Linked DNA regions of Arabidopsis thaliana. The protein of the gene in region 3 interacts with the protein of the main gene of each other region in a pairwise test. Each region holds a gene or a part of one and is shown on either strand. Other genes may lie near its edges.

Region 1 (4,320 bases), on a different chromosome or scaffold from region 3:
TCTAGACCTACATGTCATGTTAAATTGTTAATTGTTAGGATTTAAATTTAAATCCGGTTTTCAAAAATGATCAAAGCAAGCAGTTAAAATGATCATAAAGCACATGATTTATAGTGATGATTTTATCTTGAATATAAAAGTTACAACTATTTTCTCTTGTTGCGGATTTCACTATCATCGAAAAAGAAGTTTGCAAAAATATTCACATATAACAATTTTTGTTGTTAGGTACCTAATTTTCATGTATTTACCACTAGAGGTGTGCTGAGAAGGAAAAAGTGGAAAAGTAAAAAAGCAGATGAGAGGGCTTCAGCCTTCAACTTCACATATATTCGTCAAAGCAGAAAATAAAGGGGACAACTTCAGAGAATATAATTTGCAGATTTTGAAGCCTTATTATGTTTGTTATAAGAATTATATGTCTTAAAAAGTGATTGGAACTTGGTTCCGTATCATGTCTTTCATCTCCACTCTCTCTATGTTTTCATGCATCAATAATAATAATCCCTATAATGAATAATTGGATTCTTTAATTTGTAGACAGCATTCTTTAGCTCCTTACCTATCATTGCAAGAATTTGTGTACAACTTATCATGTTTCTATGTTTTTGTTACGACCAATTAATCGGCATTATTCTTTATATCCATTCATATGTAAGCATCGACGAAAGAAAGAAAAGAAAGGGCGCCACAAGCTATGTTACGTTAAGTCATTCGTCTTATGATTAAAATTGCATCATATATTCCTTAATACACAATTGTTCCATGAATCCACCAGTTAAGTAATTAATCTCTTATCGACTCACCCAATTTATTCGCATATCGTAAAAAGATGTTGTTTGCCTTAAATAATCTCAACAAACTTTTTACCCCTCTTAGAATCGTCTTTTTGGTTTCCACATGATATGAACTTTGATTTACTGTGAAAAAGGTAAAGTAGATCAACGTAACTTTTTTTTTTTGAAGAACACAAAAATCCAAAAACCATAAAAACTTGCTCTTGTATTGAGATTGCCTGCATTGGCTGAAATTATCCTCACGTCATAATTAGATATGATGATTATAAGTACGTAAAGTTCTTTTATTTATTCACTAGACAGAATCTTCATGTTCAATAACCCCAAGAACAATTAAGTACAATATGATAAATCTACCATAAAATAAATAAGCTGCTTAGTAAAACTAAACTAACTGATGAAACTTAATATCTAGAGACATTAATTGATTCGGAAGTAAATGAGATAGGTAGTGACATCAGAAGCTCCAATTGGTTGGATGATGAGCATCTCCAGGAGCGTCAAATTCACAAGGAAAAGGAATCAGATTGGACATTGCTTCGTGAAGCCATCCGTCATCGTGTTCCATCTGCTTTAAATTGGGATGCATTGGTTAATTAGATTTACAAATTACAAGTAATGATGGCATATAATAATATACTAGTGTCTTGGAATAATTAAATAAATACCTGGATTAGATAGTCGTCTGATCCTGAAAACATATCTTCCTCTTTTTCAGAATGGTTGTTGTGATTCTTAGACATGTGAGGTTGTTCTTCACATGTGTCATTGTTTCTAGCAAATCGGCCGCGAACACGAACACGCCTGTCGGCTAGGGTTTTACGACACACATACTGCATACACACATAATCATTTGAAAACATTCAAAAATGAATATGTAATTAACTAAACTAAATAAGAATGAGTGTAGTATGTATATGTATACGTACCTTGATGGTCTTATTGAAGTTGCGTTGGTTCTTCTTCTTCAAGTACCTCATGATTCTGTCTTTACGTTCCTCCACCGAATAGCGTCCCACTTTTGTATTTGGCTCAGCTTGTATCCCTCCTTCACTATTTCCCTGCTTCACACAAAATATTTATTTTATTTCGTTTCTTGCATGCGTATATATTAAATGTCTCTCATATTAACTATAAGATTTTCAAACGTGAATATATACGTACCCAAGATTGCTCTCCTGTGGCCGGACGGAACAAGGGCTTGATCTCCGGTGAAAAGCCGTAGTATTCTTGATGATCTCCACCATGAAAGTAATGTGTGGCATTATTCACACTCATTTTCTGGTAATAATTGTTGTATTCAGGCACAGAGACGTCAGAAATCCCAAAGACTTGGGGTACAAAGATGGATTCTGGATTAGAAGAGGTGTTGAAGGAGCCATAACAGTCGTCGAGGTAGCTGGATAACGAAGAGTCCACGTCAGGACATGAAGAAGAGCCGTGAAACTGCGAAGAAGTCTCGCAGGAAAATGTTGTGAAATCAGCGTAGAACTGAGGAAGAGATGATGCCATTTTGTTATAAGTTTGGGGTTGTTTGGGAGGAAATGAGAGTGTGTGCAAGTGTCTATATATATAGGAAACATAGAGAGGAGTTTTTGTGTGAGGATGTTACAAGTTGTTGGGTTCGGGCAGGCTGACCGTAACACAAATTGGGCTGACCGAAAACACCAAACTTACAGTTAGTGAGACTCTATGCTCTGTTAATAACTTCTTTACACTCTCTTTTCATGCTGTCAAAGCCATTTTCTTAACTTAAACATCTTAATTATTACCAGCTCATTTTTCCTTTTATGTTCTAACTGTTTCTATTTTCGTTTAATTTTTGCACTTTTCTTTCTACATTCATCCACCTATCCTTCTTTCGGATTTGCCATTGTGCTTGTTTTATCTCCCTTAAGAACATTTCTTTTTGTAAAATTTTCAACTACGAGAAAATGAAACTTTAAACAGCTTAAGTCATCGAATTTAATAATTGATATATTGTAGATACTAAGATACATCTGTCGAATTGTGATACGTTAGACAATGGAGCACAGCCGAATAATTAGATATCTAATTTAAGCCACACCAATTGTCCTTAGTTGCCAATGTTCGTGTCTCGTCATTTTTTCAATAAACAGAAAAAAAGAGAATTTTAAAAACCGAGAATAAATGTTTTCGCGTTATTTCAAAGGGCCGTACACAAATACACACGCTATGAAAACTACGTAAAGAGAAACCCTACGCCTAGCTCCAGAATCTTAACACATGTTCTTCTCGATTGTTTACATTATAAATTACTCCAAGTACAAAACAGCCCCCATGACTTGAATCCACCAATAAATATTTAAGCAAAAATGTATATGAACTTAGATTTGTGTGTCTATTTACCCCCTACCTCCTCAGTCCAATTTAGATTCACTGGTTACATCATAATACTACGTTTGCATGACAACCATGCATGCGTATTTTACAAGATTTGATATCTAAACTCTGGTCGCCAATGCTTAAACTTTCGAGCCGGGAATTATAAACCAAGTTCCGTATAATCTCCGGGATCTATGAAGAATTTTGCCATTTAAACCGTATGAAAAAAATTTCAACCACTGAATCACCACGAGTTAGGGTTTGTTTTTCCTTTTTAACTAATAAGAATGGGAAATTGAGACATTAATATGTTGAAAAATATAATCAAATATGGGTGATGGAGAGATAGGAGATCATAAGTGTAGATATAAAATACGGAAGGCTGCCTCCAAACATGTTCAGTGAGATAGGAGATTCGAAGAAAGATGATGGATGGGTCAGTCATGACATGACTGAATATGCATTCAAAGATTAAAGGGAGACATGTTTTTCTTCCCTTTATCTTGTTTTCAGTGAAATTGTACAACTTCATAATATTAGATTCTCTTTCCATGATCTGCTTAACTTCAAACTCGTCCCATGGACTAGACAATGAAATATTTTATGAGAAAAAAGAAGATCTTCCAAATATCTCAAATTATACATCATAAGATGTCAGTGTTACATGTCATATGATATTTTTAAACTCTACCATAGCTGATCTTATCTTATCCTACTTGTGGATTTAATTATGCTCTTAAAAAATAGAATCTCATCAGCATTCCCCAGGAATAGTAAATCATCAATATCTGAAACTCTGCGTCCGAATGCCTTCAAAGTACTGATACCTTTTTTATGTATATAATTATGAGTTACTTAGTGGCTTTTTGTTCAAACTTAAAAAGTTGTTCTTGGGAAATCTTGCTTTCATGTGTTCTGTTAAGCTAAAGCGAAACTGATATCTTAGTTCGATCTTTGTTTGTTATCTGAAAATATTCCTACCTTTAATTATCCTACACTAAAAAGAAGCATTCATTTTTTCCTCAAACAAAGACTGATCTACACAGTTAATTACTCTTAAACAATGTATGCTATAACTATTACAAAATTTTAGATTTTTTTTTTTTGTTGTTGAATTAAAAAAGGGAGATAAAAATGAAAGAATTGGATAAAATGAAAAGAGAGAAAAAAGAAGAAG
Region 2 (5,925 bases), on a different chromosome or scaffold from region 3:
TCTAATCTTAAAATGTTTATGTTATGTATAGTAATTGATTTATTAAAATTTTCTCTATGCAAATAAAGCATATTATATACAAAAAGCATATGTTTTAAGTATTTTGAATATAAGTTTATGGTGAACATAATCTAAAACATCAATCTTAGTGAGACAACAAATGCCGAACATTGTTTTTACTATAGAAAACGTGCTATGCATTCTACTGTAGGGTGTGTTTATCGGAGAATGCGGGACTCAGTTGAACCACGGGGTGGTGATTGTTGGGTATGGAGAGACCAAAAATGGAACAAAATATTGGATAGTAAGGAACTCATGGGGACCTGAATGGGGAGAAGGAGGCTATGTTCGGATAGAAAGAGGAATATCGGAGAATGAAGGACGTTGCGGTATAGCCATGGAGGCTTCTTATCCCACCAAGCTCTCTTCGACTCCTTCTACTCATGAGTCAGTAGTTCGTGATGATGTTAAAGACGAGCTCTAGAGACTTTAAGTCATTGAAAACTGAATTTCGAACCATTCTTCTAGTGAGCTTACACTGAGTTTATTATTTTATGGATTGAGGTTCATGGGTTTCAGTTTACACATTTATCGTGTATTCATCTTAAATTGAGACGATTTTTATCTCCTTGTAATATTGGCCAGCATTTGCTTTGCGGAAAAATGGCGTTAAATACTTTACTATGTGCAAGTTTAATTGACTTACAAAATGGCCAAGAATTGTAACTTTTGAGGATAGTGTTTGTAATTATTAAGATCATAAAACAATAATGGACAGTAAAACATCTTTACTATTACAAAAAGTGCAATTCAATTCTCCAAGATGGACGTTTTGTAATTGTAAAGATGTTTTTTTTTCAAATTATTTTCATATTTATTGACATTTTTAGGATCATAACTGGGAACAAACACATTGGACTTAACCCTTGTAAAAGATTACAAAAATTAAAGACATAAATTAAAACACAAAAACCAAAACGTCCAAATCAAAAGGGTAAACAAACCCAACGGGAGAGAAGCTCATAGGCTTAGAAGGGTAAAACGGCGCACCAAGCCTATGAAGCCACACCAAAACCAAAATTAGGTTTTACCAAAACATCGCCAAAGATGTTTTACGGTCGATTATTGGTTCATGTTCTTAATGTCTTACCAATATTATTGAACATATTTGGGAGTCAAAAATTTGAGTCTTTGTAATCACTAATCACGCTAAACACGATATTTTTTTATTTTCAACACACGTTTGAATTCAACTTTTTTGTAATCGCGAAACAACGGATAGAATTATCTAAATTTCAAAATTTTGGCCAAAGTCAATAACATTAAAAACACCTCTTGTAATCCTCCCTTTAATTTGAACATTTATTTGTTTTGTATTACATGCTGACATTTTTCAGATAAATAGAACAAAACAATTGAATATGACCTACTTATACAGCCAATTTAAAAGGGTTTACTCCTATACAAACTAAACCCCTCTAATAAAGAATCGAACTAACAAATACTATTATACTACAAAAAGAATGGATATCAAATTATAAGAAAGCTTCTTACTTAATCTTCTTCAAACCTAACTAACTCCTTCCTGGTTTTGATTAAACCCCTTGTGCTTGTTCACATTTGTTCTTCTTTGACTGACACAACGACGTCATAGCTTTTGCAGACACAACCCTTGTCACCAGAAGCTTCCACTTGGTGTCTTCACCCATTTTCTTGTCTTGTTCTCCCCGTTTCCTAAATTGCCTAGTCCCAAAAAAAAGAGTTGAAAAGAACACATGAGATTCTATTAAAATATCTACAAATTTCAAGAAATGGCAACAATTTGCAGCCGTCGGATTACGACCCATCATCAATTCACATAGCAATTTGCAACTTTTCTAAAGGTGGGTCTACACAAAAAGATAAACAAACCTTGTCTCTTACCAAAAATGAAATTTTTTCACTTTCAACAAAACATTGGTTTTTATTCATAAACATACTAAAAATCATCAATTTCAAACTTACTAATTAAGCGTAAATGGATTCGCTCATACTTTTTGATTTATTTCAAATGTGAAATTCCTAACAAAACAAGTTGGGACATACCTGCAGAGAGGGACGCGACAAGAATCGGGTTGATCACAAATCAAAGAATGGAGTCTAAAGAGTTGAAGCATCCGCTTGCAACGAAGACAACCCTTATCGTTATTCCTCCTCTTGCATACGGCAAAGTGACGTATCAAAAGCTGAAGACCATAACACGTGGAAAACGCCTTACAAGGCTCTGACTTTTCCGCAGTCATTGACTTTTTGTTGTTATCTACTACGTTTGATGGACCGACCAATGTACAACCTTGTGTGCATATGTGCTCTATGCACTCCATTGCCTCGCTTAGTTGCATGTAAAGATCCTGCTCCTTTCTATGTCGTCGCCTTCTTTTCTTCCTCTGCGTTAAATTATAAATCAACACATAATCAGAAAAATGACCAAATGTTTTGGGGTTAATTAGGTATATAAACCAAATCTAATCAAACATGAGTTAACTAATACTCTAAACTTTGTGCAACATGCCAAACTAAATAAACTGAATTTAAAAAAAAAAAAATTATCTTTTTACTAGCGCGGAACAAAAACTAAACCTAGCTGAACAAAATGTGTTATCGAAGGTACTAAGAAAAACAGAGATGCTGTGTTTTCAAAACATATAAGTAAGTTTACCGATTCGGCGTCATCGATGAACTGGAGAATGTCGAGCTCGAGGAAAGGATCATGTTCTTGAATAAACTTCCATCCTTCAGTCTGCTCAACGGTCTTAAACTGCGAATGGATCAGACGCATAGATCGAAGGCAAACATCGGGTGCGTCGCAGAGCCGAGCTAGCTGGAGGACGTCGACTACGTTCTCTGTAGTTAAACGTTGTACAACGCCTTTTGAGCACCGTTGCTTCAGCTGGGTGACCATGTAGACGTGAGACAACGCTAAAAGATGGATTCCATATCTCTCCATCTCATCCTCCGTCAAACTAAAACAGAGACGCAAAAGGGTAGTTTAGTCATTTCCTGACAGCTATTGTTTCCCCAAGAAAATAGCCCAAAAAAAAACAGAGTTTCTTCAAATCCGTGTATGAAAAAGAAAAACCGGGAAAATTGTGTAGTACCGGAAATAACCATCGGTTTGAAGTTTCTACATTTGGAAAATTCAAGAAGAATAACCGAACCAAACCAACCTAGAAGAGTAGAGGAATTTGATAAAAACCGAAACGGCGTCGCATGGAACGCCAAGAATCTTGATGACTCTTTTAGATCCACAGCCTCTGTAACGTCTCATCGGTTTCTTCATGATGTTCATCAGTACCGGTGAAGCTGAAGCCTGCATTATCCACAAATTTTAGCTAAAAACCAAACCAGAAAAATGTAAACCGTAAACCAAAATAAATAACAACTTACCAGAACGCCGGAGTGTGCCGGAATCCGACGGTTATCGGAGGTAACGATCTCAACGTCCGACGTCGGCGTTAGATTATATGAAAGTTTATCGGTGATTAACGAAAATCCGTCGTCTTCCGTTGTGGCGGGGACGGACATTGCGACAAGAACAGCTTCCATTGAAATTTTGTAGAGAAGAAGAAGAAGAGAGATTTCTGTAGGTTTGGTAGTTTGAAGAAGAAAGGCTTTGGCACATTTCTGGTTATATAGACATTAGCGAGGTGGGTCCTACCGTAACCTTTTGGTTGCTTACGTGGCGTCTCGCAAATATCTATTTTATTTTTGCGTCTCTCTATTCTTATCTAACACGCTCGTGATCTGTTTTCACTTAGATTATCACTCTTTTTTTTCTTTTTTTGGCATTTTTATGTGACGGGAATAGCATTTGTGGATAAAGAGATGAAGCTGGATCACTCTTTAAGTCTTTATTACAATAATTTATAACGAACAGGAGAATTCATATTCAAATTTATCTTCCATGAATCATCAAAAAAGAACTGAGAATATGTATCATAGTCGAACGAAACTTCCGAGTGTAGTATTTGAATACTGACAACAAATATCTGAAATTTTAAGTAGTTGGAGTTTTTGGTAAACTAATTCCTAAGTTTTTTTTTTTTTGGTCCGTGGAGATCATGAAAGTTTGGGGATAAAGTTATTATGCAACTATGAACTTTAAGACAATGCAATTATCACGAAATAAAATAAATAAAAACTTTAAGACAATCAAAGATATTGATAAGAGGATTAGGATTAGGATCAACTTGTTCCATAATTTTTGATGATAATTGTCACGAGAAGAAAACTCGCCCAGTGTTTTGTTTCCATGGCATCTTAGCTTATCTAGGGTTTAACGCAAATATTTTGGTTTATACCTTAAGTGGCGCCCCATTTTTTCCATGAGAACTTAGTTAAACAATGTCTCAACCATAGCAAGAGTGATGAGTTTAATTTCCATGAGAAGTTAGTTAAACAATGTCCCACTAACAAGCTCAATTTTGTATTTAATTTCAATTGCTTATATTTGTTTTAAACCTTTTAATATATATTACCGACTTGGTGTAACATGCATAAGAATTTAACATAGATAATGTTCTATTTGATTTGTGTATTGAGCTGGACCAACGGTGTAAGTTACACCGTGTAACACTGTCCGTATTATATTCCCAACATTAGGAAAATAAGATGAAAACAAAAAATGAAAATATTTGCATAATTTACGTTCCTGAAAAAAAGTGACTATTATAAGGTTGCTTTTGTTTGTGATCCGAAAAACAAGACGACCTTTTTGTTCCATGTAGGCAGATTTATGTTTTCTTATCAATCCAATGTGGAAAGTGAACAAATCCGGGACCAATATTGTTTTTGGCTTTGCGTCAAAGAGCTGTTTATTAAAAAAAAACTAGAAAAGCCGGTTATTGCAATAAACCGACCTTTGCCTCTTCCCAAGAGCCACCTCTCCTCATCCCTCGTGGCATTTTGTTCTCATCCAATCTTACACGCCCTCTTGTATTGCCAATTGTGATCCTTTTGTTTATCCATTGTGTGACTCAATCTGTGTCAACGGAATTTTGTGTTCGATTAAAATATTTTCCATAAGATAAATGAATACATGACTTTTAAATCGAACGTTCTTATCCGTTTTGGATATATTTTTAACTATCTTAGTAATAGCTTTGAATTTCGAACATTTTCTTCCTAATCGCATAGATCATTAACTTTTGTAATCACATATATTGTTTCATGGTATTTTTTTTTGTAAAAGTATTTCATTAAATTCCTCAATCAATCTAGGTAAGACTACAATTTACTACTAAATAATAGTGTTTTTTTTTTTTTAATGTTGGTAGAAAAATTAACCTACCATTTATAGCAAAGAAAAACTCTGTTTTTAGGTAATTGACCTATATTTTATCATTTTTAATATTAATTACTTTTTTACTTAATTTTCATGAAACATTTTGGACCCTGTCTATAATTATAAATTTGGAGAAAAAAGAACTATGAAATTTATGGAATTAAAAAAAAAAAGTGTATAGTGCGATTGTTACGTTGGATTTGGGGAGTAAGTTCGCCGCATAAATGTTGATTTGTTGGAAATTAGGTTTGGTGCAATGATTTTGATCCATTAAAAACGCCACGTGGAGAAATGAACATTGGCTTGGTTGGATTTGGAGTTGGCGTTTTGATCTCACGTCCTAGGCCAATGAATTCATCATTTCAAACCATTTTTCTTGTTTAATTATAAACACAGTTTTAAAATTAATGCAAATAGATTCATTGTAAAACAAAAAGCTAAAAAATTCAAAGTTTGTTGATAAGTTTCCGCATCAGAAAAATAGTGATCGGTCCGACCCATAAATAGATTTGATTAACTTTCTCATTATTGGTCGGAGTCTCGGAGATGTCCATTCCCCATATTATTGGTTGAATACTTTATCTAAAAGCCAACTTCATTAA
Region 3 (7,277 bases):
GAAAACGAAGAGCTGCACAAAGAAGTTGAGGAGCTGAGGAAAGACTATGAAGACTCAAGACGGATGAGGGCAAATTTAGAGTGGCAGATTTCTGAACTGTCAGATGTTGCTGGAAGACAGGAGGAAGAGATTAGAAAACTTAACGCTTTGAATGAGAATTTGGAGTCAGAGGTACAGTTTTTAAACAAAGAAATTCAACGACAACAGGTTCGAGAGGAGTACCTGAGTTTGGAGCTGCAAGAGAAAAGCAATGAGATTGGACTTTGGGATTCTGCGGCAACATCTTTCTACTTTGATCTTCAGGTCTCAGCTATCCGTGAACTCATTCTTGAGAACAAAGTTAACGAACTCTCAGGAGTTTGTGAAAACCTCAATGATGAAGTTGTTACGAAAACGACTAAGATTAAACAGATGAAAGAAACAGTTGGATTTTTGGAGTCTCAAGTGACTGAGCTGAAGAGTCAGTTGTCAGCTTATGATCCTGTGATAGCATCTTTGGCAGGGGATGTAAAAGCCCTTGAGAAAAGTACACATGCTTTAACGAAATTTCCTGCAACAGCCTATCAACAAAGAGTGGTAAACTTTTGCACTCGTTCTTCTATTTCAAATGTCAACTCATCTTTCTCGCTGTACCGATCTTAAATAATTCTAAACATTTCCATTTTTTTCAGGGAAACAATCTGGAAGAAAGCGGCAGTACCACCAGCCCATGCAATGGAATTGTGATTCTGAAGGAAATTAATCCAAGTATTAAGACCATCGAACAAGCATTTGTTAAAGAAAAAGGCAGGCTATCAAGGCAAATAACACGAAGCACCTCCCAAAAACGCAGAGACCGCAGGAAGATTGAAAATATACAACCTGATGACCAGGTCACTGGTGAATCTAGACAGCCAAGATTGAGGCCTGAGATGACAGAGGTGAAAAATGAATTATTAATGAAAGACAATCCTCGTGATCAAGTCACAGACTCCCTGACCTATGGCAGAAGCCAGGGAACTAGTCATGGTTCCAATGACATGTTTGAGTTTTGGGATGAATCTGCTGAATCAGAGACCAGTGTAAACTTTCTCATCAACAGTAACAAACCGCAGAGGTCATTGAACTCCAATCTCCGTCATCAAAGCCGGAATCCCTCTATAGAATCTGATAAAGCGGTTGGAGTTGTTGACAAACTAGAGTTATCTAGAAACATCGAAGACAAGGCAAAGATTCTGGAGAGACTTTTGTCTGATTCAAGGAGACTGTCAAGTCTCCGGATTAGCCTAACAGATCTGAAAAGAAAGCTGGAGATGAATGAGAAACAAAGAAGATTCAGCAACGCTGATTTGGTTATAGTGAAGAGACAGTTGAAAGAAATGGAAGAAGCTGTCTCGCAGCTGGAAAACACAAACGAGATTCTTTCAAAGGAAATTGAAGAGACTGGAGATGCCAGAGATATATACAGAAAGGTGGTCGTGGAGAAGTCAAGAAGCGGGTCTGAGAAGATAGAGCAGCTGCAAAACAAAATGCAGAACATTGAGCAAACAGTTCTGAAGCTTGAAGATGGCACCAAAAGCAAAGGAAGGAAAATGTTTTCAGAGACTAGGACAGTGATTCTCTTGAGAGACATTATTCATAAGGGCGGAAAAAGAAGTGCGAGAAAGAAGAAAAACCGGTTCTGCGGGTGTATAAGGTCTTCGACTAAAGAAGAGTAGGGTGGTTCATAAGGTAAATTACATCTAGTCTTTCATAGATTATTGTAAAGATATTCATTGAACTGACTCTAGAAGAGTATAATATGATATGATTTCTGAAATATTGTAGCAACTAGCTTAAGATGTATTTTAAAATAAAGCTAGTGCTGGGGTTGAATGAGAAACGTGGCAGAAACTCGGATTTTAGAAGCAGACACAGTATGTTTCGATATAGTAGAACTTCAAGAGAAGGAACCTATATTACAAGAAATGTTTGGTTTTGTTGTGAAGAACATGATGGATTGACATCTTTATTACACAACGACTAGACTACAGATTTAAAAGTGTGCTAAGTGCTAACTTACTACCAACTAGAAGTTGACTTATATCATCTTTCACCTTGAAAAAGATTCAAAGAATTTCCTTAGCTACACAACACCAAATGCTTTCAGTGTTGGGGAGTGAGAGAAGGAAACGATGGAATCGACTGCAATATCAGTTTCCGCCCGCCATTTCTTCTCCCTAAGATTGAGCCTGAGCTAGATGATTCCATATGAGGAGGAGAGACCCTCTTTCCGTTGGGAGAGACACTCTTGATGTTAGGTATAGGGGAATGGATGAGAATCTCAGGCATTTGTTCAGCTCCATCAACTGCGACTGTCTCGAATGACTTCTCGATTCTGGATTGAGACAAACTAATGTCTGGTTTTCTTAGATATTGACTGTTAAATATCCCTGAGGAAGATCCACCTCCAAGAAGAGACTGTGGAGGAGGCATCCTGTTCTTAGATGATGAGAAAGGTAGTTGAACCAGTTCTGGTCTGAAAAAAAAAACAAAAAACTCAGCTACTCAGGTGATATAGACTCACATAAAAAGTCCTCTAGAATTTGATATTCTACCTGTAAATCGGCGTTGGTGTCGTAGGTAGAGCAGAACTCATGTCCTTTCTCATTAAAACCTCAGTGTTTTGTTGGCTTTTGGCTGTTCTGCTTTTCTCAGATGTTTCATTTTCCTCTTCTTGTTCGGCTTCCATGTCAATGGAAGACCCTGAGATATTCATTAAGCAGAATCAGAATCAGAAAGAGAATGTGAGGTTATTAGTAATGAAAAATTGAAAACTCAGAAGCAGAGAAGCTAACCATCTTTCCGGCCGAATGCGTTCTTACATCCTTCACATCTACAGTTTATGGAACAGCCCACACCACCCTTTAAAGAAACAACATACCAAATTACCGGAATCAGGCCATAGGAAGTTAATCACATGGAACCATTGAAAGCACATCGATGAGGGAAAATAAAAACCTGATAGCATTCACAGTATTTCTTCAGACAGTTTGATTTCTTGCAGTTGCAGCCACGTTTATGGCGCGCAGAAGCTGGAGTTTTGCTTGCATCATCCTGTGTGTCATTACAATATTATTATAACTTCAAGCAAGATAGATGGATGATGCAGAGGAATCAAAGGACGGGGAAAAGAATCCTACCCCGGTTTCTTGAACTGAGTCAGAGTTCCTAATGACTTTAGGAGCAAATGCAAGTGGATTCCGAGATTCAATCTGTTTGCGAGTCGCCAGGACAACGTCTTCATGGATAGGTTTATTGAAGCAGTCTATACATGAACATGGCTCTATGCAATAGACTCCAGCAGCAAAGCATTCACAGTAACTGCACCACACAAACATCAGAAGACTCAAAACACCAAACTTTTTTGAAGGGCCAAAGATCAAAAATGTGGAACTTTGGAGCTTACAGTTTCAAACACTTGGACTTTTTGCAGTTGCATCGCTTACACGACTCGCCTTCTCCAGAATCCAACTTAACCCTGTGTGTTTATCATGCCAACAGTTATTAAGACAGAGATAAAAGGACTCTACACAGAGGAGTTACTCTTAAAGGAAAAAATCTTACCTCTTCTTCTTAGGGCTGCTCAAATTTAACTCTTGCAAAGCTGGTTCAACAGGAACATCTTGATCTGCATCTTCCCGGATTTCATTTTCTGTTTGGTCCAAAGAATCTTGCAGTGTAGAGATGGACCTTTGTAAACCCACTTGTATATTCGCAGAACATGAGTAATCTTGAGTAACATTGGTTTTACAGTCCTTTGAAGACATTAAAATGGCATTTAGATGAAGACCAATACTCGGTACAACACATCTCGAAGAGGATTCACAAGCCGCGGTGTTATTCTCACTTGATGTTTGCTTATTCCCGGGCATCTCAAAGTCAAGACAACGTCTTCTTATACCACGGTGCAAGAGTGAAACAGCCTATCACACAAAACAAAAACCAAGAAGACAACTCTTTTAGAGACAGTAAGTATTTATAAAACACTGAAGATAACTACTTGTGATATTACTCCTGAGTTTACCTCATAAGGAATCGCATTCGCGGACTCCGGTTCCTTGTTTGAATCGTGCTGCATTGTTTGCTTCTCCACACCATTTCTAAAACGTGCTTCAGAGTTTGATGCTCTCTGCATCATAAAGCATCTAAAAGCCTCAGAAGCATCAGGTGAGTCAAAGATTAACAGCTCAGAAGCATCTGCAATCAAACTTTCCCAATCCGGAGTTTCAGTTTTCCCCTGAACATTATCATGCATCTTCTGCAGCTCCATTCCATTATCCTCACAAGAACCATCCTCTCCTCGAGTAGGAGCGTAAGGAACAAGCGAAAGATCAGTAGTATTTCCACCACACGGTGAAGCAACGGAATCATCAAGATTCGTTTCAACTGAAGCTTCTTCTCGCATGCAATCATCTATGTTAAGACCTTTTGTATCTTCTCCTTCTGCTGGAACTTCTTCATGAGAAGTAGACTCGTCTTCTTGAGATTCAACGGAATTGGTAGGATCAGAAGAAGAAGAGTTGTGAGTTTTGAAGAATCTGGATTCTTTGTGAGAAGAAGTTAGGTGAGGTGAAGTGAAAACAGAGGGAGGGGAAGTGAAATTCAGAGAGCTAAATTGGTTAGGATTTGGTATGGATCTGACTGGTCTTATTGGAGACAAACTGTTTATGTAATTGAACACTGGAGAATCCTGCATTTTCAGACAAAACACAAAAAGGGGAAGATTATGAATCTTATTTTGGTACTGTAATTAAGGTTACAGATTCCAATTAAAAGAATCTTATGAGACAGAACAGAAACAAAAGTACAGATCTTTTAGCGAATTAGGGATAAATAATCATAATATGACAGAAACAACTAAACCATCAGATTAAAACAACTAAAATTTGCATTATAATTATGAATCTTTTTTGTACCATTAAGGTTACAGATTCCACAATTCAAAGAATCTTAAGAAAAACAGGACAGAAACAAAAAGTATAGAATTTGTAGTGAGAATTGGAGATAACTGATCATAATTAACAACACTTCACTGTAACATGTGAAACAACTAAAACCGTCAAAGTCAAACAAATCTAAAACCAGTTACAGTTATGTCTTTGAACTAACTGCATTGACTTCAAACACAAAACCAAAGTACTTTTTTTTTTTTTTTTGTAAAAAAATGAATTGAATAATTGGTCCATTAAACCTATGAAATCTGAATTTCTATGACAATAAATTAGAAAAGAATTCAGAGAAATCTGATAATTGGCACAAAAAAACAGCAAAACATTTCATTAAAATACAAAAACACAGAACTTTGACCAAACCAATTATTAGAGTTATACAGAAGAAGAAAAACCTCGAATCTGGATTTGGAAATTGGAGTTCCGATCTGAGTAATACTCTTCTGAGGGGTATCCATTTTCCAACACACAAACAAAAAAAATCACATCCACAAACACAGTGTCACTCTCTCTCTCTTTCTTATCTCTGAGGAAAGTCTCAGTCTTTTATTAAGTTTCTCTCTCTCTCTCTCTATATATGTCTTTAGTGGAAGAAGAAGGAGGAGGAGGAGAGATATTCAAACAATAGCAAAGGCGGGAAATGGGGACTATGTCAGAAATCAGACCCACCACTACTATCAACTTTGCCCTAACACCTGTCTCTCTTTCTCTGTATTATATACAACAAGTGTCTCTATGTATCTGTGTATGTATAAGCAGTGAATAATGAATCTTTGATGCTTTGCTTTGTCTGCAATCTAAGTCCAAGTATAAGTAATATACTCTCTCTCGATTCCTAAACCTTTTAATAAAGTAACGGACATCAGTTTTTTTTTTCTTTTCCCTTTTTTCTCTTTTTTGTTTTAGTTATTATTAGTGGACAGAAAATAATAGAATAAGGAATTTGAGAATTTTACAGTTCTATTATTCACTGCTGCTGCTTCTCTTTTGTTTCTATGCAATAAAAAAAAAATTTGTTTTCTCTCTTTTGTTAGGTGGTTTATTTACAATGCAATTTGCCACTAAGTACTAACAATGAATACGTCTTTGTTTTTATAACGTTGAAAGTCTTTTTTTTTGTTTAATAACGTTGAAAAAACCAAGTCTTAGTTCATGCACGCTTAATATGTCTCTCTATACGCTATATCATAATTTTATGGATTTGTTAGCAAACAAAAAAATAAAATTACCCGAAACAGTAATGCACGCTTTTTAGTGCATAAGAGGAAAAAAAAGAAGAGAGAATTAAAAGACTGACGACTGACAGAGAGGATTGTTTATGGTCAGTAGCACATTATAAGGCTAAAACTGGGAGAATTATATATCAGTAGTCACTAGATTTGCTAATCACGAGAAAGCGTTTATGGTCAATTATTCAGAATAATAAATTATGATTTACACTAATGACTAAATAACGCTCGATAAATCATGTACATTATTGCATAAAATTGCCTTTTCTTGTCATAGACATTCTTGTACCAATCTGTTTGACTCAAATAGTTTCTCTCTTACAAATACTTTGTAATTATTTGTACACGCTTCTAACAAATAATTAAGATCTACCTAAAAGAAATGATTGCATGTGTCTATTATTTTTGTACACTAAAACTGTCTCCATGTGATCATTAGATCATGAAAGTCGGTTGTATATACACATTTTATGTTTTATCATTCACGATCATAACAAAAATAGGAGTAACATGATTACTGTGATCTAAAATGTGGTAATTAAAATACAAAGTGCCGGGCTATGGTAATAAAAATAATTTCATCTTTTCACGTATTATATTTTAAATGTTTCCACTAAAACAAGATATTAATAAAAATAGCCAAAAACATGCCTTCCCCGTGAACGCCTTTAAAGTTTAAAAGACCTAAGAATTTAATATAAAATCGCCGGTGGGGTTACGTTTTTGTTACTACGTGATTTTTTACCGAATTTACATTTATATCCATGTCCTTATCTAGGAGCCATCATGTTCCCCCATGGGTATTTTCGGAATTAACAAAGTGACAGCTAGGCGTTATGTGACAATGGGCGGGAAAATGGATTTATAACGAAAGAGTAGTTCATGTACGCTGTGGTTTACTTTGTTATGGTGCGCTATTGAGATGGTGGGATCTAATGGATGGTAGACAGACACGTGGATGGACGTTGAGTCGTTGACTTAAATTGGCTTCGCAAGTTACGGTGTCCGAACGTCGAACTACGTGGACATGTAACCCAGATCTTGTGTCTACCATCCATTCTCTTTGCATTGGTCAAAG

The links.
Region 1: the proteins of TCX2 (region 3) and ASML2 interact in a two-hybrid assay, tested with the Arabidopsis thaliana proteins (one large-scale study listed by BioGRID).
Region 2: the proteins of TCX2 (region 3) and BT2 interact in a two-hybrid assay, tested with the Arabidopsis thaliana proteins (one large-scale study listed by BioGRID).

The regions. Positions count from the first base shown.
Region 1 is NC_003074.8:4,097,212-4,101,531, reverse strand, and holds ASML2 (activator of spomin::LUC2), read right to left. Parts: upstream 2,334-4,320; 5' UTR 2,310-2,333; coding exon 1,962-2,309; intron 1,859-1,961; coding exon 1,727-1,858; intron 1,631-1,726; coding exon 1,466-1,630; intron 1,366-1,465; coding exon 1,255-1,365; 3' UTR 998-1,254; downstream 1-997.
Region 2 is NC_003074.8:17,906,887-17,912,811, forward strand, and holds BT2 (BTB and TAZ domain protein 2), read right to left. Parts: upstream 3,853-5,925; 5' UTR 3,586-3,852; coding exon 3,427-3,585; intron 3,350-3,426; coding exon 3,207-3,349; exon of another isoform or gene 3,003-3,206; coding exon 2,699-3,002; intron 2,427-2,698; coding exon 2,086-2,426; coding exon of another isoform or gene 2,028-2,085; exon of another isoform or gene 1,744-2,027; coding exon 1,596-1,743; 3' UTR 881-1,595; downstream 1-880. Other genes in the region: CEP3 (Cysteine proteinases superfamily protein), read left to right, coding at 212-484. UniProt on the Arabidopsis thaliana protein: May act as a substrate-specific adapter of an E3 ubiquitin-protein ligase complex (CUL3-RBX1-BTB) which mediates the ubiquitination and subsequent proteasomal degradation of target proteins.
Region 3 is NC_003075.7:8,479,398-8,486,674, forward strand, and holds TCX2 (TESMIN/TSO1-like CXC 2), read right to left. Parts: upstream 5,580-7,277; 5' UTR 5,429-5,579; coding exon 5,366-5,428; intron 5,186-5,365; exon of another isoform or gene 4,941-5,185; coding exon of another isoform or gene 4,938-4,940; intron 4,934-4,937; exon of another isoform or gene 4,718-4,933; coding exon of another isoform or gene 4,712-4,717; coding exon 4,046-4,711; intron 3,945-4,045; coding exon 3,586-3,944; intron 3,500-3,585; coding exon 3,428-3,499; intron 3,343-3,427; coding exon 3,162-3,342; intron 3,076-3,161; coding exon 2,980-3,075; intron 2,884-2,979; coding exon 2,817-2,883; intron 2,725-2,816; coding exon 2,577-2,724; intron 2,498-2,576; coding exon 2,125-2,497; 3' UTR 1,698-2,124; downstream 1-1,697. Other genes in the region: NET1B (kinase interacting (KIP1-like) family protein), read left to right, coding at 1-576, 672-1,697. UniProt on the Arabidopsis thaliana protein: Plays a role in development of both male and female reproductive tissues.